Caenorhabditis elegans: one gene and its partners. The protein of the gene in region 1 interacts with the protein of each later gene in a pairwise test. Each region holds a gene or a part of one and is shown in the gene's direction. Other genes may lie near its edges.

What was found.
Region 2: the proteins of Y71G12B.27 (region 1) and mmcm-1 interact in a two-hybrid assay, tested with the Caenorhabditis elegans proteins (one large-scale study listed by BioGRID).
Region 3: the proteins of Y71G12B.27 (region 1) and asna-1 interact in a two-hybrid assay, tested with the Caenorhabditis elegans proteins (one large-scale study listed by BioGRID).

Annotation. Positions count from the first base shown.
Region 1 is NC_003279.8:1,796,784-1,800,538, reverse strand, and holds Y71G12B.27 (Cyclin-dependent kinases regulatory subunit), read left to right. Parts: upstream 1-1,816; 5' UTR 1,817-1,893; coding exon 1,894-2,037; intron 2,038-2,887; coding exon 2,888-3,100; 3' UTR 3,101-3,104; downstream 3,105-3,755. Other genes in the region: Y71G12B.5 (Apolipophorin), read right to left, coding at 624-822.
Region 2 is NC_003281.10:3,905,824-3,909,578, reverse strand, and holds the start of mmcm-1 (putative methylmalonyl-CoA mutase, mitochondrial), read left to right. Parts: upstream 1-1,891; 5' UTR 1,892-1,919; coding exon 1,920-2,329; intron 2,330-3,042; coding exon 3,043-3,691; intron 3,692-3,735; coding exon 3,736-3,755. Other genes in the region: Integrin beta pat-3, read left to right, coding at 1-125, 179-250. UniProt on the Caenorhabditis elegans protein: Involved, in man, in the degradation of several amino acids, odd-chain fatty acids and cholesterol via propionyl-CoA to the tricarboxylic acid cycle. MCM has different functions in other species.
Region 3 is NC_003281.10:8,893,092-8,896,846, forward strand, and holds asna-1 (ATPase asna-1), read left to right. Parts: upstream 1-1,990; 5' UTR 1,991-1,997; coding exon 1,998-2,431; intron 2,432-2,479; coding exon 2,480-2,738; intron 2,739-2,946; coding exon 2,947-3,156; intron 3,157-3,284; coding exon 3,285-3,410; 3' UTR 3,411-3,563; downstream 3,564-3,755. Other genes in the region: lnkn-1 (Protein linkin), read left to right, coding at 1-126, 185-346, 653-784; ZK637.4 (uncharacterized protein), read left to right, coding at 1,122-1,190, 1,243-1,310, 1,360-1,413, 1,469-1,565. UniProt on the Caenorhabditis elegans protein: ATPase required for the post-translational delivery of tail-anchored (TA) proteins to the endoplasmic reticulum. Recognizes and selectively binds the transmembrane domain of TA proteins in the cytosol.

The DNA of each region.
Region 1 (3,755 bases):
CGAGTTTTAAAAAAAAGTTTTGGTCCAAAAAATGTAGAATTTATTATCGGACATTTTTTTACATGCACCAAAAAATGTTCGACCAGCCGTTTTTGAGGAAAAAAAACCCGCCCAAACTTCCAGGTATACGGTAGACAAATTACGTACAGGCCCCCCTTCTCGGGTCGTGTTAGGGCTCCCAGCAGAGTGAGGCGCGAAATGCGGGCCTCACGCCGACCTCCGCGCACCGATGTGTGTATGCAACGAAGTGCGAAGGGTAGTTATTTGGAGCGGCCGACAAGTTCGGGGTTCCGCAGCTTGGCGTGAAACGAGTAGCTTGGTGTGTGCAGTGCACAACGTAGTTCGAAACTGTGGTTGGCGGCCGACAAGTTCGGGGTTCCGTGCCGCACTATACATTCGGATACATGCGGCGTGAGTGACGCCGACACCGTGAGGCCGGCGCGGCTACCGCTGAGGTCGGCGCGGGACTCGTTGCGGCGACCTCATGGGAGCCCTAACAGAGATGTTAAATTGTTTCAAAATAGCACCGAAACTACTTAATTATAACTTTGCGAGAGCTTACAGATCATTCAAGAATCCCGTCAATTTTTCAACATCTTAAGGAAATTGCCTAAAACACTCACCCTTGTCATATTTTCCCTTGCATCCTTGAAACGAGAACCCATCGGAAAATAGTGTAGCAATCCGGGAAGCATCTCTAGTAGCAATTTCATCTGACACTTTGCTCAAAAACTCCTTGACAGTGGTCTCGGATCCATCGGCGAGTCCATGAATAGTTCTGAAGAGAAGAAAAACGAGAAGAAAATAATTTGTCAGCCACATATTGTGAGGCGACTATCTGCGGAAAAGACGGGATGGTGGGCTCCTTTTAAGCGACAAGATGGGCGGTATGATCGTTATGAATAATCGAATTATTGGAGGGACGGGAATTGGGAATTGTTGCGGGGGACGACACGTCAGCACAGGGAATCGAAAATCAAATTTGGAAAGATGGGAAAAAAATCAAGAAATCTGCAAAATTCGTAGAAGAAAGATGAAAGTGTGGGGAGCTTTTAGATTCGGTAATGTGTATTTTCTATAGAATCCCCCAAAGTTTCGAGTTTTGACATTTTTCATAAAAATTTGATAATGCCAATCGATTTCAATTGTTAAAAAAAAGCAAAAGTTGTATTTTTCAAAAATTCAAAAGTACTGAAAAATCATATGAAGTGCTTCTTTTTTCTTTTATAATACTGTTCAGCATGATCAGAAATACCAGAAAATACTAAAAAAAAGTATGCTAGTCAATCCGGAACATATTTTAAAAAATTGCACAATTTGACCAAAAGCTGTATTTTTCAAAAATTCAAAAGTACGCCAAAATCATATGAAGTGCTTCTTTTTTCTTTTATATTACTGTTCAGCATGATCAGAAATACCAGAAAGTATCAAAAAGAGTATGCTAGCTTGACCGGAAGATTATTTTGAAAAATTGCAAAATTTAGTTAAAATCTATTTTTTCAAAAATTCAAAAGTACTGAAAAACCATATGAAGCGATTCTTTTTTCTTTCATAAAACTGAAAAATAAATGAAGTAAATAAAACGATGCAAGCGCGCTCCAATGCGAATTTGAAAAAATTATGCGGGGGCACAAATGAAATTCGGCGATTTCAAGCTCAAATATAAAATCAGGGATTTTTTTGTTGAATTTTTTTTACATCGATATTCGGAATACTCCACGTGATTTGTAAAATAAATACAACATTTCAGAATTTAAAAAAAAAGAATTGTCCACGTAACCTTGCCCCCCCCCCTCTTCCTAATTGTTCCAACAACATTTCCAAAACTCCTCAACAATCATTCATTCCCTACTTGTCGTACAATTAACATCGAAGAATAAGAGTTTTTGAAAAATGGAAGATATCTACTATTCGCCACGTTACGAAGATGATGAATACGAATATCGCCACGTCATTCTTCCGCAAGCCGTCTCGAGAAAAGTGCCAAAGGGAAGACTTCTTAGTGAGGCTGAATGGAGACGTGCTGGAGTTCAACAGGTATATTTTCAATTAAGTGATATGTTAAGATTTTAGGAAAAAAATCGATAATTAAAAAAAATAGATTTTTCCAAAAATCGATAATTCACAAAATTGATATTTTGAAAAAGCCAATATTTTAAAATATTTTTTATTAAATTAAGCAAGGCTCCCAGCCGAGTGAGGTGCGAAATGTGGGCCTTACGCCGGCCCGATAATTTAATTGCCGGTTTGCTGATTTGCCGGAAATTCTCATGTTCGGCAAATTGCCGGTTTGCCGATTTTCCAGAAATTTTCAATTCCGGCTATGTGCCGGTTTGCCGATTTGCCAGACATTTTCAATTCCGGCTATGTGCCGGTTTGCCGATTTGCCAGACATTTTCAATTCCGGCTATGTGCCGGTTTGCCGATTTGCCAGACATTTTCAATTCCGGCTATGTGCCGATTTGCCGATTTGCCAGGAACTTTCAATTCCGGCAATTTGCCGGTTAGCCGACTTGCCAGAAATTTTCAATTCCGGCAATTTGCCAGAAATTTTCAATTCCGGCAGTTTGCCGATTTGCCGATTTCCAGAAATTTTAAACTTCGGCAATTTGCCGGTTTTTTGATTTGCCAGAAATTTTCAATTCCGGCTATGTGTCGGTTTGCCGATTTGCCAGAAATTTTCAATTCCGGCAATTGGCCGGCTTACCGATTTGCCCGAAATTTTCAATTCCGGCAATTTGCCTTTAATGAAAATTTGTTTTAAATAAACATTAATATGTTGATAGAATCGATATTTCAAGAAAACCGATAGTCATAAAATCGACGAAAAAAAATCAATATTAAATTTCTGAATGTGGCCGAATTATTGATTTTTCATACTTTTCAGTCACTTGGATGGGAGCACTACATGGTTCATAACCCGGAGAAGCACATTCTCTTGTTCCGTCGGAAGCGCCATTTCACAAAAGCCGACGAGGAGCGTGCCAAAATGGAATTGTTGAGAGATATGGAAGTGTTCAATAGAGCGCAACAGCAAACGACAGCAACCGATGAGAAATTGAACGCGGTTTTCTATGAATTTGTGAATAAAGCAGTGTAGATATTTTGTAAGACTTTGGGCTTCCATGGGTGAGCGGCGGTGCGTCTCGCGCCGGCCGGCCATCGCCGCTGTTATTTGGAAGCGTCCGACACGTTCGGGGTTCCGCGCCGCACTATACATGACTGAGGCGTCTCGCTGGTCGGCGAAGGCGCCTCGCCGGCGCAGGAATGGAAGCCCTAGTAATACCGTATGTTCAATTAAAAAGCGCCGAAAATCGATATATTACAAAAGTTGCTTTTTAAAAAATCGATATTTTGGGAAATCGATATTTCGACAAAAATCAATATTAAATGAAAATCGAAGTCATAAAAATCAATATTTTGCAACAAAACCCGTATAGAATAAAAATCTCGGCCGCCATAAAAACGAAGCATAAAGATTTTTATTTCAAATTTTATGTTAACAAAAATTACAAATTTGTTTTGAACGTAGAGTACACCAGGGGCCGGCAATTCCCGTTCGGCAATTTTTTTTGTCCACAAATTCGGAAAGTCGGCAAATTGCCAGTTTGCCGATTTGCCGGAAATTGTCATTTTCGGCAATTTGCCGGGTTGTCGATTTGCCGGAAATTTTCATTTCCGGTAAATTGCCGGTTTGCCGATTTGGCAGAAATTTTCAATTCCGTTAATTTGCCGTAAATTTTCAATTCTGGTAA
Region 2 (3,755 bases), on another chromosome or scaffold:
TCATTGCGGGTATCGTAATCCTCGGAATTCTTCTCTTGTTGCTCTGGAAATTGCTCACAGTACTTCATGATAGATCCGAATACGCTACTTTCAATAACGAAAGGCTTATGGCCAAATGGGATACGGTAAGTGACACGGAACAAAAAACATATAAATTTATCAAATTATCATTTTTCAGAACGAGAACCCAATCTACAAACAGGCCACGACAACATTTAAAAATCCAGTATACGCTGGAAAAGCCAACTAAATAGTTTTTATCCTTATATTTTAATAATTTTCCCAAATTTTCTAATATGAAAGCTCAATTTCTCCATCCAAACAACTCGAAACGAGTATTTAGCGATAAATTGTCACATTCTTCTTTGTTTTATTCAAAAAATCTCCATTTTTTTGTTTTTTTTTCCTTCATCAATTGTTCATCACACTGCTTTTACCCCATTCTAAATACGGATTTTTTTCTTCCTTCTCTATATATTGACTTGCTTTATATTCATCTTTCATTGCCTTTTGTCCCTCTTAACACCGACCAACAACTCACACACTTCTTGTACTATTTCCAATTTTCAATGGTGCTTTTATTTTTGAACTATCTTGTTCGAATTTTTCATGTAATATTAATTTTATATGAAAAAAATCTGAAAAATTAATTTTTTGTCTTTTTAATTTTTGGTTGAAACTGATATTAGCCATAACTATCTGAGAAGACATGTTAAATAATATTTTTAAATTATAAAAAGGAAAAAAAATTGCGCGTAAAGTGAGGAGCTTGGTGTTTGCATCCAAGTGCACAGAAAGCATTCAACTTGACGACAATTTTTTATTTCTTTTAATTTCTTTAAATTTTTTCGTTTAAAATTGGAATTCTTTTTATCCTATTTACCGTGTGGATTTTCAATTTTTCAGTTTAGAAGATTCCCAAAAGTTCGAAAAGTTTCAAGTATTTGACCCGAAGTGGTTTGACAACTGTTATTAAGCCTGATTAATTTATTTTTTGCATATCAACCGATTTAAAATTTAGTATTTACCACTTAAAAACGCTAGAGACTACAATAATCAAATATCTGACCCTCCTTCAAAGAATAAACAAGTTTTTTTTGACGTGAATTGTAGGATTGAAAAAAGAAAGATAGAGAAGTGACTAGACTTTTCTTAAATACGCACAAAAATGAGAGAGCGCAGAGATAAATGCTACTTTCAGTTTTGCACGCAGACACAGAGTCAGTTGTTGTTCCCCGAGTGTCCTCTGCGGCTTTTTATGCTAAATCAATGTTTCTTTTCGATAATTTTCAGTTTTACTTAAATAATTCGAAAGTTCTCTAATATTATTGTTTAAAATTTCAATTAAAAAACCGCCCATCTTCATTTTTGCGCTTGTTTACGATCTGTCAAGAGATTGACGGCGACTACAAGGTCTTTATTGTTTTATTTTTTGCTTTCTAAATTAGAATTTAAAAAAATAATAAGTTTTTCGAAGTAGTTTCTAGATTAGGGCGTATAATTGTTGAAAAAAAAAACACAATTCATAATCTATTTAATTTCAGTTTCACTGGATTTTTAAAAGCTGAAAGTCAAAACTGAAGGATTTTTCAAATTAACAAATCATTTTTTTTTCATTCTTCTAGCTCAATACGTGCCAAACGATTAGATCTTTTCAAATTTCACATTTTCTTTCTCTGGCCTATCTGTTCCACAGCGATTTCGTTGTTTTTGACAAAACTCGACAGCAGTGATCGGTTTTTTGGTCACATCGAAGGACTTGTGACACAAAAATTAGTTTTTATTTTTGTTAGTTTTAGTTTCGAAAACATAAATCAATTTTGCAAAACGTTCTCTCATGATTGTCTTCTTGAGTTTTTATATTATTTCCTTCGATAATATCAATTTCCAGATCATCACTGCCTTTCCACAAAGGCAAGATGTATCTTCAACTACTGAAACCCACACTTCTCCGATGCTCAACCCGTCCATCTTCTTCCGGAGCTTACACCCGCTCCCCAATCGATCAAAAATGGGCTGCCATGGCAAAAAAGGCGATGAAAGGCCGTGAAGCGGACACTTTGACATGGAATACCCCTGAAGGAATTCCAATCAAGCCACTTTATTTGAGATCTGATAGAGATTGTGATGCTCAAAGATCTGTTGAACTTCCCGGTCAATTCCCATTCACTAGAGGACCATATCCAACAATGTATACTCAACGGCCATGGACTATCAGACAATACGCTGGATTTTCGACTGTTGAAGAGTCGAATAAGTTCTATAAGGAGAATATTAAAGCAGGGCAGCAAGGACTTTCAGTTGCATTTGATTTGGCCACTCATAGAGGGTTTGTTTAAAAAAATCGATATGAAATACTCAAAATGGTCCCAAAAGTAGCCTAATCCAGCTAAATTCTCTAATTTTGTCAACTTTTCCTTGTTTCAGTTCTCGATTAATTTCAAATTAGTAAATTGTTATTTTTGGAACCAAAATGCAGTTTTTAACAAAAAACAATTAAATTAAAAATTGGTGAAATTCTAGAAAACTCAATGGAAAAAGAAGACGACTTTCGGTTGTTTCGAGCATTTTCCATCGAGTTTTCTCGAACTCAGCCAATTTTCTGTGGGTTTTTTTTGTTAAAAACTGCATTTTGGTTCCAGAATGAACAATTTATTAATTTAAAATCTTAAAAAAATTACAAAAAATCGCTGAAACAGAAAAAAAGTTGACAAAACTAGAGAATTTAGCTGGATATACTCCAACCAGCCGTGGATCGCACCTACGGCGCGGCCCACGACTTTTTTGAGAAAACACATTAGATATACGATGTCTATCGCGGACCTCGATCGATGTCTGCTGCGCATTTAGCATAAGGTTTCCCAAAATTTCGTTGCTCTGATCAGAGATCAAACTACATAGTGACGGAACGACACGCGCTTTATATGTAGTAAATTGATTGATTTTGAAATATTGAACCTGCGACAAAATTAATAAAAGTAGGTCTTTTGGGGTCATTATAACTTTTCAATAAATCATTTTTCTAAATCTAAAAATTTCCAGCTACGATTCTGACAATCCGCGTGTATTCGGAGACGTCGGAATGGCCGGTGTTGCTGTGGATTCAGTTGAAGATATGCGTCAACTGTTCGATGGAATTAATCTCGAAAAAATGTCAGTTTCAATGACAATGAACGGAGCTGTCGTTCCAGTACTTGCCATGTATGTTGTAGCTGCCGAAGAAGCTGGAGTCAGTAGGAAGCTGTTGGCTGGAACGATTCAAAATGATATTCTCAAAGAATTTATGGTCAGAAATACGTACATTTATCCACCAGAGCCATCGATGAGAATCATTGGAGACATCTTTGCATACACTTCTCGTGAAATGCCAAAATTCAATTCGATCTCAATTTCTGGATATCATATGCAAGAAGCTGGAGCTGATGCTGTTCTTGAGATGGCTTTTACAATTGCAGATGGAATTCAATACTGTGAGACTGGACTAAATGCTGGACTTACTATTGATGCATTTGCTCCGCGTCTCTCATTCTTTTGGGGTATATCTATGAATTTCTACATGGAAATCGCAAAGATGAGAGCTGCCCGTCGCCTTTGGGCTAATCTGATTAAAGAGAGATTCTCACCAAAAAGTGATAAGAGTATGATGTTGAGAACACATTCACAGACTTCTGGATGGTCATTGACTGAGCAGGTTCGGAGTTCTCATAAAAAAATAAAATAAAATATTATTTCCAGGATCCATACAACAACATCAT
Region 3 (3,755 bases), on another chromosome or scaffold:
ATGACAGATGGATGGGGAGGTAGTACACAGAGTGTAGCATGTCAAGTTCCGGCTTCATCAAATAGAGCACTTTATCTCCCATTTTTGTTGTATGGTCTTGGAAGAAGTCCAAATTTTGTGGATGAGGTAATTTCATATCTTCTAGATATTTTCGTTCAATTATTCCAAATAATCTTTTTTTCAGTTGAATATTGCCATTCCGAAATACGCAGATCGTAAAGAAGATTGGAAACACAGTCTTAAACAGATTGTTCCAAATTCTCGGATTATTGTTCTCCCACCATCGGATCAATATCCACACTGGACGAGTCGGCTCTACGTCACACCATCAGCTCTTATTGTTCAGGTAAGATTATTATGGAGACGTGGACATACGCTCCAAATGGGAACGACGGAAATTGATAAAATAAAATTAAAAAATAAAAGAAAAAAACTTTTCATTTTTAATGCATTCTTTAAACATAATTTCGGCATAAAAATCATTAAAACTAACGAAAAACATTTCAAAATGGTTGCAAATACGAATTCGTTGAATTCACGGGTTTGCTGCCAAATAACTAACGAGACCCATGGCTCGGGGGCGGAGCGTAGTCAGTTGGCCATGGGGCACATTTCCACGTCTCTATAATAAATCGATATTCTCATTTTCCAGAGTCTTGCCGTCATTGCTCTCGTATGCTGTATGCTTCTAATGGTTGTCGTATTCTTACATTATCGAGAGAAAAAGGAAGATCGATACGAACGACAACAACAATCTCATCGATTCCATTTCGATGCCATGTAGATTTTTTTGTGAATTTTAAGATCATATCTTCTTGAAGACGAGATCGTTTTTTACGGGTTCCCATCATTTGTCTCTTTTTTTGCATATTTGACCTTTTGAAGCTTCATCCTGTGTTTAGATTTCCCATTTCGAGCTGTGATTGCACGTCGGAGTATTTTTAGAGATCAGCTTTAAATCCGAGTTTTCCTTGTTTGAAAATAGAAACATTATTTGAAAACAACTGTAATATTTATTCCACGTGACCCCTTACCCTCCATCACTCTCTTTATAAACTGAACAGAGACTTTTTCGTTTTTTTGACGAACTATTAAAATAAAACTTTTTGAATTTTTTCCTAATGAAGTCAAATCCAAAATATTTTCTAATGAATGACGTGGAGCGGCAGAGCAAATATTCGCCGAAATATGTGAGTTTTCTTCAAATTTTTGTTAACTTTAACAAAAAGTTTCCAATTTCAGGTTCCAAACAACAGTCTGAAAGAGCGAATTCTGGAGTTTTTGGATTATTACATTGCGCCATTGAAACTGTAAGTTTCATTTTATGGAAAATTCTCATAAAAAACTCAATATTTTCAGGTATCTTCTGTCTTACCCGATGCCGGATTGCCTTTGGGACAATCGAAAATTGAGGTATTACATCGGAAAATCGTTGCAATGACATGGAACCCACATTCATTTTTTTCAGATTGAAGGCCAGTGGTGTGCAAGTGACTCCGAGCTCCGAACCAGTTCATATCGATGATCGTCTAATTCACATTTCACAGAAACAACCGTCCGAATGATTTTTCGATTTTTATTTAATAAAGTTTTAGAAATTATTTCATTTTTTTCAAGTTTTATCCGTGTTCTAATGGTTTTCTATTACCTTATTATTATTTCTTCAGTTCTCCAAAAAAAAATATTACCCAGACATAAAATGTTGAGGTTTTGTAACCTGGGTCTCGCCCCGAGAAAATTTTGTTAAATGCAGAAAGTTGTGCGCCTTTGGAGTACTGTAATAAACACTTTCGGAATTTTCATAATCGAATCAAAAAAGTTATTTATTAAAGAACTTAACTCCTATCAAGTCGAGAAAACACTGTAGAAAAACAATAAAAATTTGTATCCATTTTTACTTGAAAAATTAAAAAAACTGCAAAAGGCTAGACATTTCTTTTTAAAATTTCAAACTTTAAATGCAAATAAACCTAAAACTTCTTTTTTTTTCAGAAATAATGTCGGATCAGCTGGAAGCCTCTATCAAGAATATTCTCGAACAAAAAACGCTAAAATGGATTTTTGTGGGTGGAAAGGGAGGTGTCGGAAAGACGACATGCAGTTGCTCATTGGCAGCTCAACTCTCAAAAGTTCGTGAGAGAGTTCTTCTCATCTCCACCGATCCCGCCCACAACATTTCTGATGCCTTCAGTCAGAAATTCACAAAAACTCCAACACTGGTCGAAGGTTTCAAAAATCTCTTTGCAATGGAAATCGATTCAAATCCGAACGGAGAAGGCGTCGAAATGGGGAATATCGAAGAAATGCTGCAAAATGCTGCACAAAACGAAGGTGGAAGCGGTGGATTCTCGATGGGAAAAGATTTTCTTCAAAGTTTTGCTGGAGGACTTCCTGGGATTGATGAGGCAATGAGTTTCGGGGAAATGATAAAGTGAGTGTCAATGATTCTGATTTTTAAAAAATCTATTATTTTTTTCAGGTTGATAGACTCTCTTGACTTCGACGTTGTGGTCTTTGACACCGCTCCAACTGGGCACACTCTTCGTCTTCTTCAATTCCCAACACTTTTGGAAAAAGTATTTACGAAAATTCTGTCACTTCAAGGAATGTTTGGACCAATGATGAATCAATTCGGTGGAATGTTTGGAATGGGAGGTGGATCAATGAATGAAATGATTGAAAAGATGACAACGACTCTAGAATCTGTGAAAAAGATGAACGCACAGTTTAAGGATCCTGTTAGTTTTTCAGATTCAAGTGATATTTAAAATTACTACGGAGATATATCACCCAGACGCGAAAATTGTCGTAAAATTCTGCATCTTGGTAATATGTTTTTTTAACCTTTTCAATTATATCAAGGGTAAATTCTAGCTTGATATATATTGAATTCAGAGATTTTAAATCATCAAAGTTTCTGCAGAGCATTCAAATATGTATTTACAGAATTGCACCACATTCGTCTGCGTCTGCATTGCCGAATTCCTCTCTCTTTACGAAACCGAACGACTTATTCAGGAGTTGTCCAAACAAGGAATCGATACTCATAATATTATTGTGAATCAACTTCTCTTTCCGGATACCGATGCAAATGGAACAGTTTCATGCAGAAAATGTGCATCGAGACAGGCGATTCAGTCGAAATACTTGACAGATGTGAGTTTAAATGAGAAGTTTGATAAATTATTAAATTAGAAACTTTGAGCAAATTAATATTGAATAACCACAGTGCATTTTTGACTCTGTCGTGATTTGCTAGATGCGGAATAAATCAATTTTTCCAGATCGATGAGCTCTACGAGGATTTCCACGTCGTCAAACTTCCACTTCTTGAGGCAGAAGTGCGTGGAGGGCCCGCAATTCTTCAGTTCAGCGAACGGATGGTGGATCCTGAAGCTAACAAAAACTAAACTAATTTGTTCTCCTACAAAATCAACTTGTTCTGTGGTTTTTTATGTTAAAAGATTCTTCCTATCCCATGTTTTTTCTCCAAAATTCCCTGTCCCCTTATTTCTCGCTTTATTGTGGGTGCCTTTTTCGAATCAAATGAATAATTTATGATATTCATTGTTTTTTACTTAGGATTGAAGTATATTTGGAACATAATTATCTTTCAAACTTCAGCCTGGCAAACTATTTTTGTCAAGTAATCATTTTAATTAGCTAGATTTTAGACGTAATTTCTTTCAAATAGTACCTAGTATTAGGCAGCCGACAGGTCATGGGACCAAGCAGTACATTTTTCCGACTGCTAG